Caenorhabditis elegans: one gene and its partner. The protein of the gene in region 1 purifies or fractionates together with the protein of each later gene. This does not show direct contact. Each region holds a gene or a part of one and is shown in the gene's direction. Other genes may lie near its edges.

The links. Proteins that work in one complex are often made in the same cells at the same time.
Region 2: the proteins of K07E3.4 (region 1) and atic-1 fractionate together in Caenorhabditis elegans (co-fractionation; one large-scale study listed by BioGRID). This does not show direct contact.

The regions. Positions count from the first base shown.
Region 1 is NC_003284.9:8,080,074-8,086,743, reverse strand, and holds K07E3.4 (formate--tetrahydrofolate ligase), read left to right. Parts: upstream 1-2,725; 5' UTR 2,726-2,840; coding exon 2,841-2,843; intron 2,844-3,341; exon of another isoform or gene 3,342-3,397; coding exon of another isoform or gene 3,398-3,400; intron 3,401-3,462; coding exon 3,463-3,561; intron 3,562-3,610; coding exon 3,611-4,067; intron 4,068-4,126; coding exon 4,127-4,380; intron 4,381-4,432; coding exon 4,433-5,381; intron 5,382-5,568; coding exon 5,569-5,729; 3' UTR 5,730-5,875; downstream 5,876-6,670. Other genes in the region: dao-3 (C-1-tetrahydrofolate synthase, cytoplasmic), read left to right, coding at 195-317, 607-780, 903-1,281, 1,747-1,964, 2,314-2,331.
Region 2 is NC_003282.8:7,880,076-7,885,909, forward strand, and holds the start of atic-1 (Bifunctional purine biosynthesis protein ATIC), read left to right. Parts: upstream 1-1,952; 5' UTR 1,953-1,991; coding exon 1,992-2,013; intron 2,014-2,283; coding exon 2,284-2,531; intron 2,532-3,761; coding exon 3,762-3,873; intron 3,874-5,370; coding exon 5,371-5,462; exon of another isoform or gene 5,463-5,495; intron 5,496-5,834. Other genes in the region: srt-73 (Serpentine Receptor, class T), read left to right, coding at 1-94, 185-295, 597-793, 845-959.

The DNA.
Region 1 (6,670 bases):
TCACTCTGTCCCCCACCATCGAAATGTGAATATGTGCTAAGTTTCCAATCAGCTTGTCCTCTGACTTCTGCACTAGTCTCTTCCCATGAATAGCCAAGTACAAGAGGAGTTTCGTACTCTTTTCCTTTACTCTTCCCCTTCTTGTTTTCTTGACGTATTTTTCAACTTGATTATTACTTTGTTTATTTTTTAGAATGGTCGCGGAGATCGTCAGTGGACTCGAGTACTCAAAAAAGGTTCTTCACGATGTCGGACAGAAAATCGCAAAAACCCGTGAGCACCACCCAAATTTTCATGCAGTATTGGCAATTGTTCAGGTATGAAAGCTTACCACTGATAATAATTTTATTTCAAGCATTGCTATTAACTTAATAATATTTCTAAATTGAATATATGAAAATGAAAATCTCTGTCCAATCTGTGTTTTGAGTTCATGACGTACATAAGTGCATTGCATACTTACAAAACAGATTTTGAAAGTTTTGCAGAGCGTAATTTGTAGTTGTGGTGTACTTTTGAGATACCGGCTTTTATTTCGTAACAAGACAAATAATATCCGAGGGGATATCTGTTATACTGAATAACTCAAAGTCTCAAAATTTGCAGGTTGGAAATCGTTCAGACTCCAATGTGTACATTAATTCCAAACTGAAAAAAGCAAAGGAAATCGGAGCAGATGGAAAACTCATTAAGTTGCCAGACACCATCACTCAAGGAGATTTGAAGCGAGAGATTATGGCTCTTAATCATGACAACGAGATTGACGGAATTATCATTCAGGTTAATATAACGGATTAAGTTGTAATATTGAAATGTTAACTTATAACGGAAAAAAAACACATCTCAGTTAATTAAAAAAAAACATCGGAAGCTAAACAATAATAGCAAGTTATTAATTTCAGCTTCCACTGGACTGCAAGCACGAAATCGACGCAGACTCTGTTATCGACTTGATTGACCCATTGAAAGATGTCGATGGACTGACTCGTATCAATGCTGGACGTTTGGCTCGTGGAGAACTCCAGCGTACGATCTTTCCTTGCACTCCGTTTGGATGCTTGTACTTGGTTCAACAGGCAACTGGTGATGCCAACTTTGTGTCTGGAAAGGAGGTGGTTGTTTTGGGACGCTCGAAAATTGTCGGATCTCCAGCCGCTGCGCTTTTCTTGTGGCATCATGGAACTGTGACAATCTGCCACTCAAAAACTCCAAATCTCAAGGAGAAATGCCTGAGAGCAGATATTTTGATTGTGGCAATTGGGAGAAAACATTTCGTCAAAGGTAGATTATCAATAAACCTAAATTTGAGATAGTGCACAGTACTGGCCATACAGATATCAAAAGATTGATTTCAACTTCAGCAAACGTGGTTATTCCGAGCTGAGATCTGACTATAGTAAAATAGTGAAAGTTTTTATATCCTGATTTTTTGGAATTCATCATTGAACAAATTTCGCGTTGCTTTTTTCATAATTACGCCCAAATCCATTTAAAAGAAGAATCTTGGCAAAAGTTATTACGAGTAGACCTTTATATGAGCAGCACGGTATTTACTTGCTAACCTAAAAGTTTGTAAGTCATTAAATTATGCAAAATATCTATAATAGAAACCCCAATTTAAGAACTATCAATGTTTAGTATGCACCTGACTGTTTGCAACTTCTGAATTGTTTTGCATCAAATAGAAACAGACTCTCTGTTCTGATAAGTGTCAGCGTTTTTTACAAATAAAAGCATATATTTCAGCTGATTGGATCAAGCCTGGCGCATTCGTCATCGACTGTGGAATCAACGTTGGTGACGACCCAAACTCACGCAAAATTTACGGAGATGTTGACACAGAAGCCGCAAAGGAAGTCGCCGGATTCCTCACACCTGTCCCCGGAGGCGTTGGACCAATGACTGTTGCCATGCTCATCCGTAACACATTTGAGCAGGCTAAGAGACGACGTCTTGGACAAAAGGTAAAATAGCTTTCCTTTTGCGACACTAAGTTTGTGCAGGTTTTTTGATGTTCTGGCCTAAGCGTGGATAGTGCCAAACAGTTTGTTTTGCGTGTGGGGTTGATACTGATGCACCAGAGTTTATTTCAAAAATTACAAAAGACACCGATAGCACGTTATCGACTCAAAGAACTTCAAAAATTCATTGAGCGATAAACTCTACGAAACAAGCAAATTTCATGGACATTGTCTTCATTATTTACACCGAATGTAAAGTTGTTCTGCAACTATAGTGTGCCTCACACAAAATCGATTGAAAATATGTTAAAAATATTTGTAAGTGTTGTATTTCACAGAACCTACTTTTCAGGATGACGATGATGAGTGAACTTCAAGCACCCACTTCCACCACATCATTTGCGAATGAACTATTTATAATGTGCTTTTTGGTTTGACTTTTTACTCTTTAAAATTTGTTGTGACGTTCTGGAACTTGAAGTCCTCTTCATACCTTTTTTTAATCTAATCTTTTCAATTTGTATTTTCTTTTTATTGTCACTTTCCACCGAAATAAACAATGACCAAGGACACAATTAGCCCTGATTTGTAAAAAGACCATGGTCTCGCGATAAATGCACGTGGTTAGTTTAGATGTTTAGATGCACGAGAGCGACGCAACATCGAACAAATCAGAGGACGCGATCAATAAGGCAGACCCGGCAAATGCCCCCCGTGCATGTTTTCTGTGCGTCTCCTAATATCTGATACTGACTCGATTACTTGTTCTGCCCACTGCCTTATCAAGGTGTTTGTATTTAGTGGCCATCGCTCTGCAGTTGTTTGAATCACTCGCTTTTTATTTTCGTTGATTCATTGGTTTCTCTTGAATTGTGAAACATGGTAAGTAACACTAACGTTTTGGGATTTGATTTTTAAACGGAAAATGCAATTTTGAAAACTCCAAAAATAACAAAAATAATTTGTTCATGTTTTGAGCGTGAGCAAAAAAAACAGAACTTGTGTATAATAACTCCACACTGTAAAAATACATTTTCAAAAAAAAAAAGAGTCTGAAGATAAAAAAAAGAGTATTATCTGTTAAATTAATATGTACATAGAAATTAATCTTGAAAAAGCGTCTTTTTTGTTTATGTTGACTAATAAAAACTTAATATGTCCCAGTTTGATATGTTGTCATACATTTCTGGAAAACCTAAAATATGTTACTTTCTTCTGATAAACCTGTCCGTGCGTTTTATCGTTTTTTAAAGTCAAGTTGCGAATTGCAACATTATCACTATTGTCAATCTATTTTATTGATTGATAAGAATCAAAATATAAAAAAATAAGAATTTTTGATCGAAGTTCCCATAAACATTTAAGTCACAATTTCTATCTTTTCATCAACTTCAATTTTCAATTTTTCACGCTGCTTGCGCCGCAAATTTGACCGAATGGTAATTCGATTAAATGTTCCAAATCAAACATTATAATTTCGTTGAATTATTTTTTATTTCAGAGCACATGGAATGTTGAATACTTGAAGCCCACCCTGTTAACTCCTGTTCCATCGGATATTGCTATTTCGAGAGCTCAACCACCAAAGGACATCGAAAAGGCACTCAAGAATATTTAATTTAAAAAAAACTTATCTTCATTATTTTCAGGTAGCTGGGGAAATTGGAATCAAACAAGAAGAGCTTGACCTTTATGGACGCAAGAAGGCAAAGGTTTCTCTTGACATTTTGGATAGACTGAGCGAGGTTAAAAATGGAAAGTACGTTGTAGTTGCTGGTATTACGCCAACACCTCTTGGAGAAGGAAAATCCACAACGACAATCGGACTAGTTCAAGCTCTCGGAGCTCATCTTCACAAAAAGGTGTTCGCATGTGTACGCCAGCCATCGCAAGGACCAACGTTTGGAATTAAAGGAGGAGCTGCTGGAGGAGGATACTCTCAGGTTATTCCGATGGAGGAGTTCAATCTTCATTTGACAGGAGATATCCATGCAATTACTGCAGCCAATAATCTTCTTGCTGCTGCAATCGATGCTAGAATGTTCCATGAGTCAACCCAAGCAACTGATGCACTATTCAACAGATTGGCACCAAAGAACAAGAAGGGTTTGTTTGAAGTCCCTTTTTATGGCATAGAAATAAATACATTAATACTTACTTTTCAGGAGTCCGCCCACTTTCGGAGATCCAACTTCGTCGCCTCGACCGTCTTGGAATCCCACGTGTAGATGATGCTGAAAATCTTAGCGAAGAGCAGAGAGTTAGCTTTGCTCGTCTCAACATAGATCCTGCAACTATCACCTGGAACCGTGTGATGGATACGAACGATAGATTCTTAAGAAAGATTGAAATTGGAATGGGACCGAATGAGAAGGGACACACCCGAACTACTCAGTTTGATATTACTGTTGCTAGTGAGGTTAGTCAAAACAATTTCATGGCAATTTTAATTTATTAATTCTTATTTGTAGCTCATGGCGATTCTTGCGTTGACAACTTCTCTCGCTGATATGCAAGAAAGAATTGCACGAATTGTGATCGGATCCGACAAGGCTGGCAATCCAGTAACCGCTGATGATATTGGAGTAACTGGGGCTTTGACAGTTCTTATGCGAGACACCGTTCGCCCAAACCTGATGCAAACTTTGGAGGGTACTCCGGTTTTTGTCCATGCCGGACCCTTCGCTAATATTGCACATGGACAAAGCAGTATTCTTGCTGACAAGGTTGCTTTGAAACTTGCCGGACCCGACGGATTTGTGATCACTGAAGCTGGATTCGGAGCCGATATCGGAATGGAGAAGTTCTTCAACATCAAGTGCCGTTACTCGGGACTTCAGCCATCAGCAGTTGTCCTTGTAGCAACTGTAAGAGCTCTTAAGATGCATGGAGGTGGTCCATCTGTTGTAGCAGGAGCTCCACTGAAACACGAATACCTTGACGAAAACATTCCACTTGTTGAAGGAGGATGCGATTCAAATCTTAGAAAGCAGATTGAGAATGCAAACAAATTTGGAATCCCTGTTGTTGTCTGCGTGAACAAGTTCGCAACCGATACCGACAAGGAGTTGGAACTTGTTTGCTCCAAGGCCAAGGAATACGGAGCATTTGATGCAGTGGTTTCCGAACACTGGTCACAAGGAGGCGCTGGTGCGGTTGCTCTCGCCAATTCTCTGGTCAATGCTACAACTGGACATCCAAAGCAATTCAAATTCCTTTACAACCTGGATTTGTCATTGGAAGACAAGATCGCTACTATCGCCAAAGAAATCTATGGTGCTGATGGCATTGAACTATCTGACGAGGCCAAACAGAAATTGGAAAGATACACAAGACAGGGATTCTCGAAGTTGCCAATTTGTATGGCAAAAACTCATTTGTCCCTTTCATCAGACCCAACAAAGAAGGGTGCTCCAACTGGTAAGAAATCAAATTATTAGATACCGGTCAATTATAAACACTCTGTTGATGTTTTAATGTTTATAGTTTAGGTACTAAAAGTTCAACATTATGATTGGTTAATGAAACTCGATATTGACTATGCATAAACAATTTCCTACCAAACTATTCAAACAACTATTTTCAAATCAAGATAGAGTTTTTGTAGGTTTCACACTTCCGATTCGCGACGTGCGTGCATCCGTTGGAGCTGGATTCATTTACCCATTGGTTGGTGAAATGACCACAATGCCAGGACTCAACACTCGTCCGTGCTTCTACGACATCACCATTGACCCAGTCACTGAGATCATTGATGGGCTATTCTAAACAATGCTTTCATACTTCTTTCTACAGATTATTTGTGATATGCGTAACATTGTGATTTTATATAAGAATTTAATACTGAAATTGTAAATAAAAAGAGTATATAAGAGCATATTTTTTGAAGACCAATAAAATTGAATTAAAAAAAATATTTCTGTCTGCCAGGACATATTTGCCGAAAACCTGTTATTTCAGAAAAAACCCGGTTTTTCCTGTTGTCACGTCATCATATGATCATAGCAGTTGATTGGCTATGAAATTGAAATTTGCTGGATTCAATTACTTTTTCATCAGCTCAACACAATATCTGTGTATCATAACTATGATACATTTTTCCAAAAATTGGTTATTCAGTATTTCTACTTAAAAACGGGATATAATAGTTTGGGTAGTAATGCTTTTTTTTTAATAATTTTTTTTGCAGTTTGTATCAAGACCATGCATATTATTTTTGACATGGAAATTGCATTGTTGTTTTTATATCTTCCTATCAAAAAAGACAATGCAAAACTTTTTTACAGATACTTATTTGTTGAAAATCGTAGCAAGTAAGTTAGCTCGAAAATATTTGAAAAAGGGGATTTAGTATTGAAAAACTTAGATTTTTAGTTTTTCTGGCAATTTCCTTTGACATTTTTTAAAAGCTTTTAATTGAGATGTCTGTTGCTTCATTGAAGATTAAAAAAACAAGTATAAAATCTTCTAATGCACTTTTACTTTTTCTTCCTTCGTGTAGCCTGACATGTTTGTTTCTTTAAATGCTGAAATTTATGATTCTGAAAAAAATTATTTGTTGAAATCATTTCATACAAAGTGGCACAGCAGGAGTAAAAATAAGAATAAAAATAAAGTACATGAAATAATAGCTGAAAAGTTTTTGGCAAGAAACAGTTGTAGCAATGCTACAGGATTTAATAGGGGAAATGGGAAGTGGTAGACTGACA
Region 2 (5,834 bases), on another chromosome or scaffold:
AGTTCTAATTGTATGGTGTATAGTTTGTTTTTTAAATGCTTTTGGATTCAGTAGAATGGTTTATTTATTACCTGCTTACACGTGGCACTATGCCGTGAGTACAACTGTGAGAAGTCCCACTTTATGTTTGGCGAAAGCTTCGCATATTGCCAAATGATAGTCAACTTTTCAATTTTATTTCCAGGCTTCAAATCCATTATCAGCTGTATTAAGGTCTGTAAGTGCTGATATATCTTTAATAGATGTCGTATTCTCATTATTTGCTCATTTGGTTATCTTCAGTTATATTTATTTTGTGAGTAAAACATACATATAATTTCGTTTCAAAGAAAATTGAAGAAAAAAACTTATCGAAAACTGTTTCTACAGTATTTCATGCAAAAAACTTTCAAGTACAATATCATCTACAGCTACCCCATGATTTTCGAATTAAATTTTCAATTCGTCAAATCTCAAAACGTTTTAGGTATATGAAAAAAATTTCACAGTAGTCGCAAACAAAGGGCAGATATTTGTATTAAGAATGTTTTGAAACTTTTCATTTCCCTTCAGAAGAGCTAATGTTTCATTATTTTTCAACATTTGTTGATTTTCAGAAAGCAGCATTATTGTCAAAGAAAGAATTAATATTGACAATTCAAGTATTATGTGTTTCTATATTTCATGTTATTGGGTATTTGACATGGGAATATCTACCAATTCCATGGGAATTACCAATTGGAGTGTTCATTGGACATGTTGTATGGATGATTTGGAATTCAATCAATTCAATGCTTTATGTATTAATTAATCCGTAAGTTTTAGAACTTTGGTTGACTGAAAACATTTTTAAAAAAAGTTGCAGTCGTATTCGTAACCTGGTATTAGCATCAATTGGAAAACAAACAGAAGTCAGTGGACGTACAATGTTTGTTGCTTCGCACGTATCAACAGTTCGACAATCCGGAGCTAAAATGTAGTCAGGTCTTCAAATAAAATATAACTTTTAGTTTTTAGAATTTAAGAAATAGAAAGATATCATTAGAAAAAATAATTATGTCTAGAAATAAAAACAATTTATTTCTTGTCATCGATTTCCAAACATTTATTTATAGGTCCATGAAATCTAGACACAGAAATCTTTTTACATGAAGCCTAATTTACTGCTAACAACTGAAATGAGAGGAAACAGATCCTCTCGATATTTTCAATTTTAAGGAATATTCTGCAAGTATAGGTGGACAGAGTAAAAAAGCTTTTGTCAAAGTAAAACATTGATAAACTGATAACACACAGAAACAAATAAAAACCGTCGTAAAACAGAGACACCATCACTTCATAATAAAAATGTTTGTGTTTTGTTATCAAGGGAAACTACCGATTGAATTTTTTTTTGAAATTTTGAAGATTTTCTGGCAAATCGAGAAAAAAAAATTAATGTACGTATATCTCCAATTCGAAGCTTTGATTTTATTATAAGAACAGAGAAACATTAGATTTTTATTGGTTTTTGAAACACCAACACAGATTTCAAAGTTATATAATATTTGCGATATTTAAAATCGATTTCAAAGTTCTTTTTATTTTCTACTTCTGATTTTTTTTCGATTATTAATTCTTTCATCTACAAGCAATAAAAACACAATAATATTTGCCTCGTTATCAAATTTATCTTATCAATTGAAAAATTGAGCAACACTGTTCAATTTGACCAGTCTAAAAGACATTTTTCATTGAAAAAGTTGCCAATTTCTGAGTGTATTTTTCCAAAAATGTTCAAGATTTCAAAGTTCACAAAATAATACTTATAAATGCATAAACTCATGCTCTCCTCATCCATCGTTTTCCTGTGATTATCTCAAAAGTTTCTATTTTTAGTGTTTTTTGGTTCCTTGTTCATTTTTTATTTTGTGTGATTTTTACGTCTCGAATAAAAAATATTAAACAAAATGTTAGAAATTGAATTTTACAAGACTATCGACTTGATACAATACATCGACGAATTGTGTGAAATGACCGACGGAAAATCACTTGGTAAGTAATTTCATTTTGAATTTTTTTAAATTAATTTTTCAAGCAATCCCGGAATAAATATAATTCATTTCTATTCTTTAAAATTATTTATTGAACTAGACATTCCACCAGGTCGAGGCGTTACGGGGGCACCTCTTCCCCGCCTCTAACCTCACCCACCTCGCTCCTTGATTTGGAAAACCCTTTTTTGTGTATTTAACAAATGAAAACTACTACAATAATGAACTAAAATAAACTGCAAGTATAAAGCTAAACATTTTTAATTTTCAGCCATTATATCGGTCTCTGACAAGACAGGACTTATTCCTCTTGCTCATGGACTTGTATCTGCTGGCTTAACACTTATTGCGTCCGGTGGAACAGCGAAAGCGATCAGAGATCAAGGAATTGATGTTCATGATGTGGCAGATGTAACAAAGTTTCCTGAGATGCTTGGTGGAAGAGTTAAAACTCTGCATCCTGCCGTTCATGGAGGAATCTTGGCAAGAGATACGGAAAGTGATCGAAAGGATCTAGAGGTGAGATAGCTTATTTTCTTTTTTTTTTGAATTTTTTTTATTTGTAAACTAACTTGTTTGTTGTCGAACCGTTTTCAACTGAAACTTGCAAATTATATTAAGTGGAAATAAATAAATTTGCAACATTTGTGCAAAACAATTCTGACAAAAGATCGGATTTTGTAGAACTTCCGGGAATCTCACAAAATGAACTTTGTACTGGCTTGAAAGATTTCACCATTACTTAGTTTAATCGAATTCATGATTGAATAGAATGAAGTGAAGAAAAAAAACCAAAAAAAGAAGGGCTAACGGGTGACAAAAAGTTGGTCCTTTCGTCAGATGAAGAAGGCTTATCTCGTGAAAATAAAGAGTTGAGAAGGAGACAAAAAGAAGATTAGAAGACAATTTTTCGTCCTCTTTTTCTTCATTTTGTCGTCACGACTTCATTCAAATTTCAATTCTTATTTCGAATTATATAATTTTTTTTTAAATAAACATTATATCTCGCTTTTGTTTAAAAAAAAAGTTAGTCTAATCTGAAACTTTGACAATTGTTTGTTAATTTTTTGAAGTTGGATTACAATTTTTTGGAAAACGGGTTAGAGAGTTTTTTCGGATTTTTTTGAATCAATTTTTTGTTACTTGCGCATTTCGCAACCTATGTCTTGCCTCTTGTTGGGATTAAAGTGCCAGCCCTGATGGCTAGAACACTTTGAGACAAAGTTGAGATATGTCACCTTTAAAATTAAATTATTAATTAGAAACCGAAAAAAAATTTCATAAAGTTAGCGTTCAGTTGAACGGAGAACGGCAAAATATTAGTCAAAAAACTTTGTTTGCCGGAAAATTGTATTACAGTCATATTGCATTTCAGGATAAACATTGAATCTCTGAGATAATCAAAAAATAATACTCCAGGAACATTATATTATTTGAAATTCTATTGTGTATTTTTAGAAATATTTTATCAATTCAGAGTGAAAATAAGATTTTTGTGAGATAATCTGTAAACCTTCAACTTTCGTCATCAACCATAGAGTAAAATTAAACTTGGAACATCCATAAAAATTGGCGTAAAAATCAACGAACACAACTGATTGGGGTGTTGTTATGATGCACCGAGAGCAAGCCTACGTGTCAGTTTCTACCGCCCGTGTCTATTCAATTACCTTCTCTTTCTATTTTCAATTGAATTTGTTTCATCTTCTTTTCCTTCCTTGTATTTTTTGGTTATTTTCTTTCTTCCAGAAACACAACATTTCATTCGTCTCAGTGGTGGTTTGCAACTTGTATCCATTCAAAAAAACTGTTCAATCCAAGGATTGCTCTGTAGAAGAAGCTGTTGAGAACATTGACATTGGTTCGTTTATTTCTTTCTTTTTTTGAGTTTATTCATCCGGAAAATTGACTTTGTTTTATGTTGCCATCTTTCTTTTTCCCCTTGTTCCTTTTGATTTCAATTTATGCACTTGACTTATTTTGCTCCTTTCGTGACTTCTAACCCTAAACCAAACATCAACATTTTTTCACAGGAACAGCTTAAATTGAAATCAGAAAATCATTTTAGCAGAACTTCATAACCAAAACATACGGCCTAGATTAAAAAGTTGAATTTTTTCAAATTTAAAGTGTTCATCCTGTTTTTAAATAAGTTACCAAATATTATAGTTCATTGGAATAGCATATAATTTTAAGGGGTGTAATTCTACTTCAAGCTAATAATTCAATCAAGTTAAAACGGATGTTCGTCAATGAAATAGACCATTCTTGCATTTTCAAAGACTTACAATGTTCAATTGAAAATAATTTAAACATTATCAAAATATATTTTTTGTATAAAAAATAATATTTCGGTCGCCTTCCATTATTATGATAGGGGGAAAATTGTCACTTTTGGATGAAAATAAAAATTCAAGATTTTTGATAAGTTTTACTATGTTATGTAATTCGTCATTTTAGCATTAGTGAATGATTTAATAATTGGCAATATTATCACATACAATACTATGATCAAGTAGTTTTATTTGAGCTAATTGAAATATCAATTTCGTGAAATTGGGCACGTTCAGGTTCTGAAAAATCGTTCTCTACTTATCACTGTGAAAACATGTATGTATTGTTCTTCTCCCTTCCTAAATCCTTTCTGACACCAAAACAATTATATTTTCTTCTTGTTCGTCTTTTTTAGTTCCTCAAAATATAAATTCAATTAACACGGAAGCTGGAGAATTCACAAAAAAAGACAATACAACCAACAAAAAACTGAGAAAATAATAATTCGTTTACACTTTCATTCTATACTTCCTCTCAATAAGTTCATATAATCTGTGATCATCTTCAGAAAATTCTTTCAGAAACATTTAAAGGAGCAAATCTTACGAATGCATCATTTCGTAAAGCTTGAGCTCTAGTTTTTGGTATCATTGAAATTTCCATATTATAACTTCTAATCGAATGGTTTTTTTAATATTAAAAAAAGGATAAGGTTATAGACATTTTATGATCTTAGCACAAAGTACAAAAAAGTGGAAATATTCGTTCAATTGTACCCATTGTATTTGTTTTTCCAACCGTTTCCTACATTTTTATCCCATTAAAAGGGCTTTTGTTTCATGAATCTTTCACCTTTTTTCCTGTTTTTCCGGGTATGTAAAACCCGCCCAGATTTTTTCTAGAATCTATATCACAATATAAACTCATATTCTTAAAATGTTGTTGTGTCCGGTTTTATTATTAATTGTACAGTAGGACATCAGAGAGTAAATCTATAAACCTTCAATTGTCCCCGTGGGTCCATTTTCATTGTAGCTATAAAAGAGAATGAAACGTTCGATTTCAACTACATTCTCAATTTCAGGAGGAGTCACGCTTCTTCGAGCAGCTGCCAAGAATCACGAACGTGTCAGTGTGATCTGTGATCCTGCTGACTACGATCATATCATTTCGGAGGTTAGTTTTAGATGGTTAATAAATCATCACAACCGATGAAAGCTTCAATAAGGCCAGTAAATAAATATGTGGGAAATAATACTAAGCTACTAAATTACAATGATTAAACATTGTTATCAGATATTTATATGATTTTTTTTCTACAGTTCACTTGCCAGTTTTTTAATTTTATTGAACATATTTTGAGCCAAAAATTTACTTGTTTAGAGATTATTCGGAACCAGATAACAATTTCGGATGTTTCCAAAAAGTTTCATGATTTTGAGAACAACTGGAAAACCTTGGATGTGGTGAAAAACGTTCAGATTTCACTTCTCGCTCCAAACTTTACGAATTTTAAAACAAAAACTATGTTCATTTATTGCAATAAGC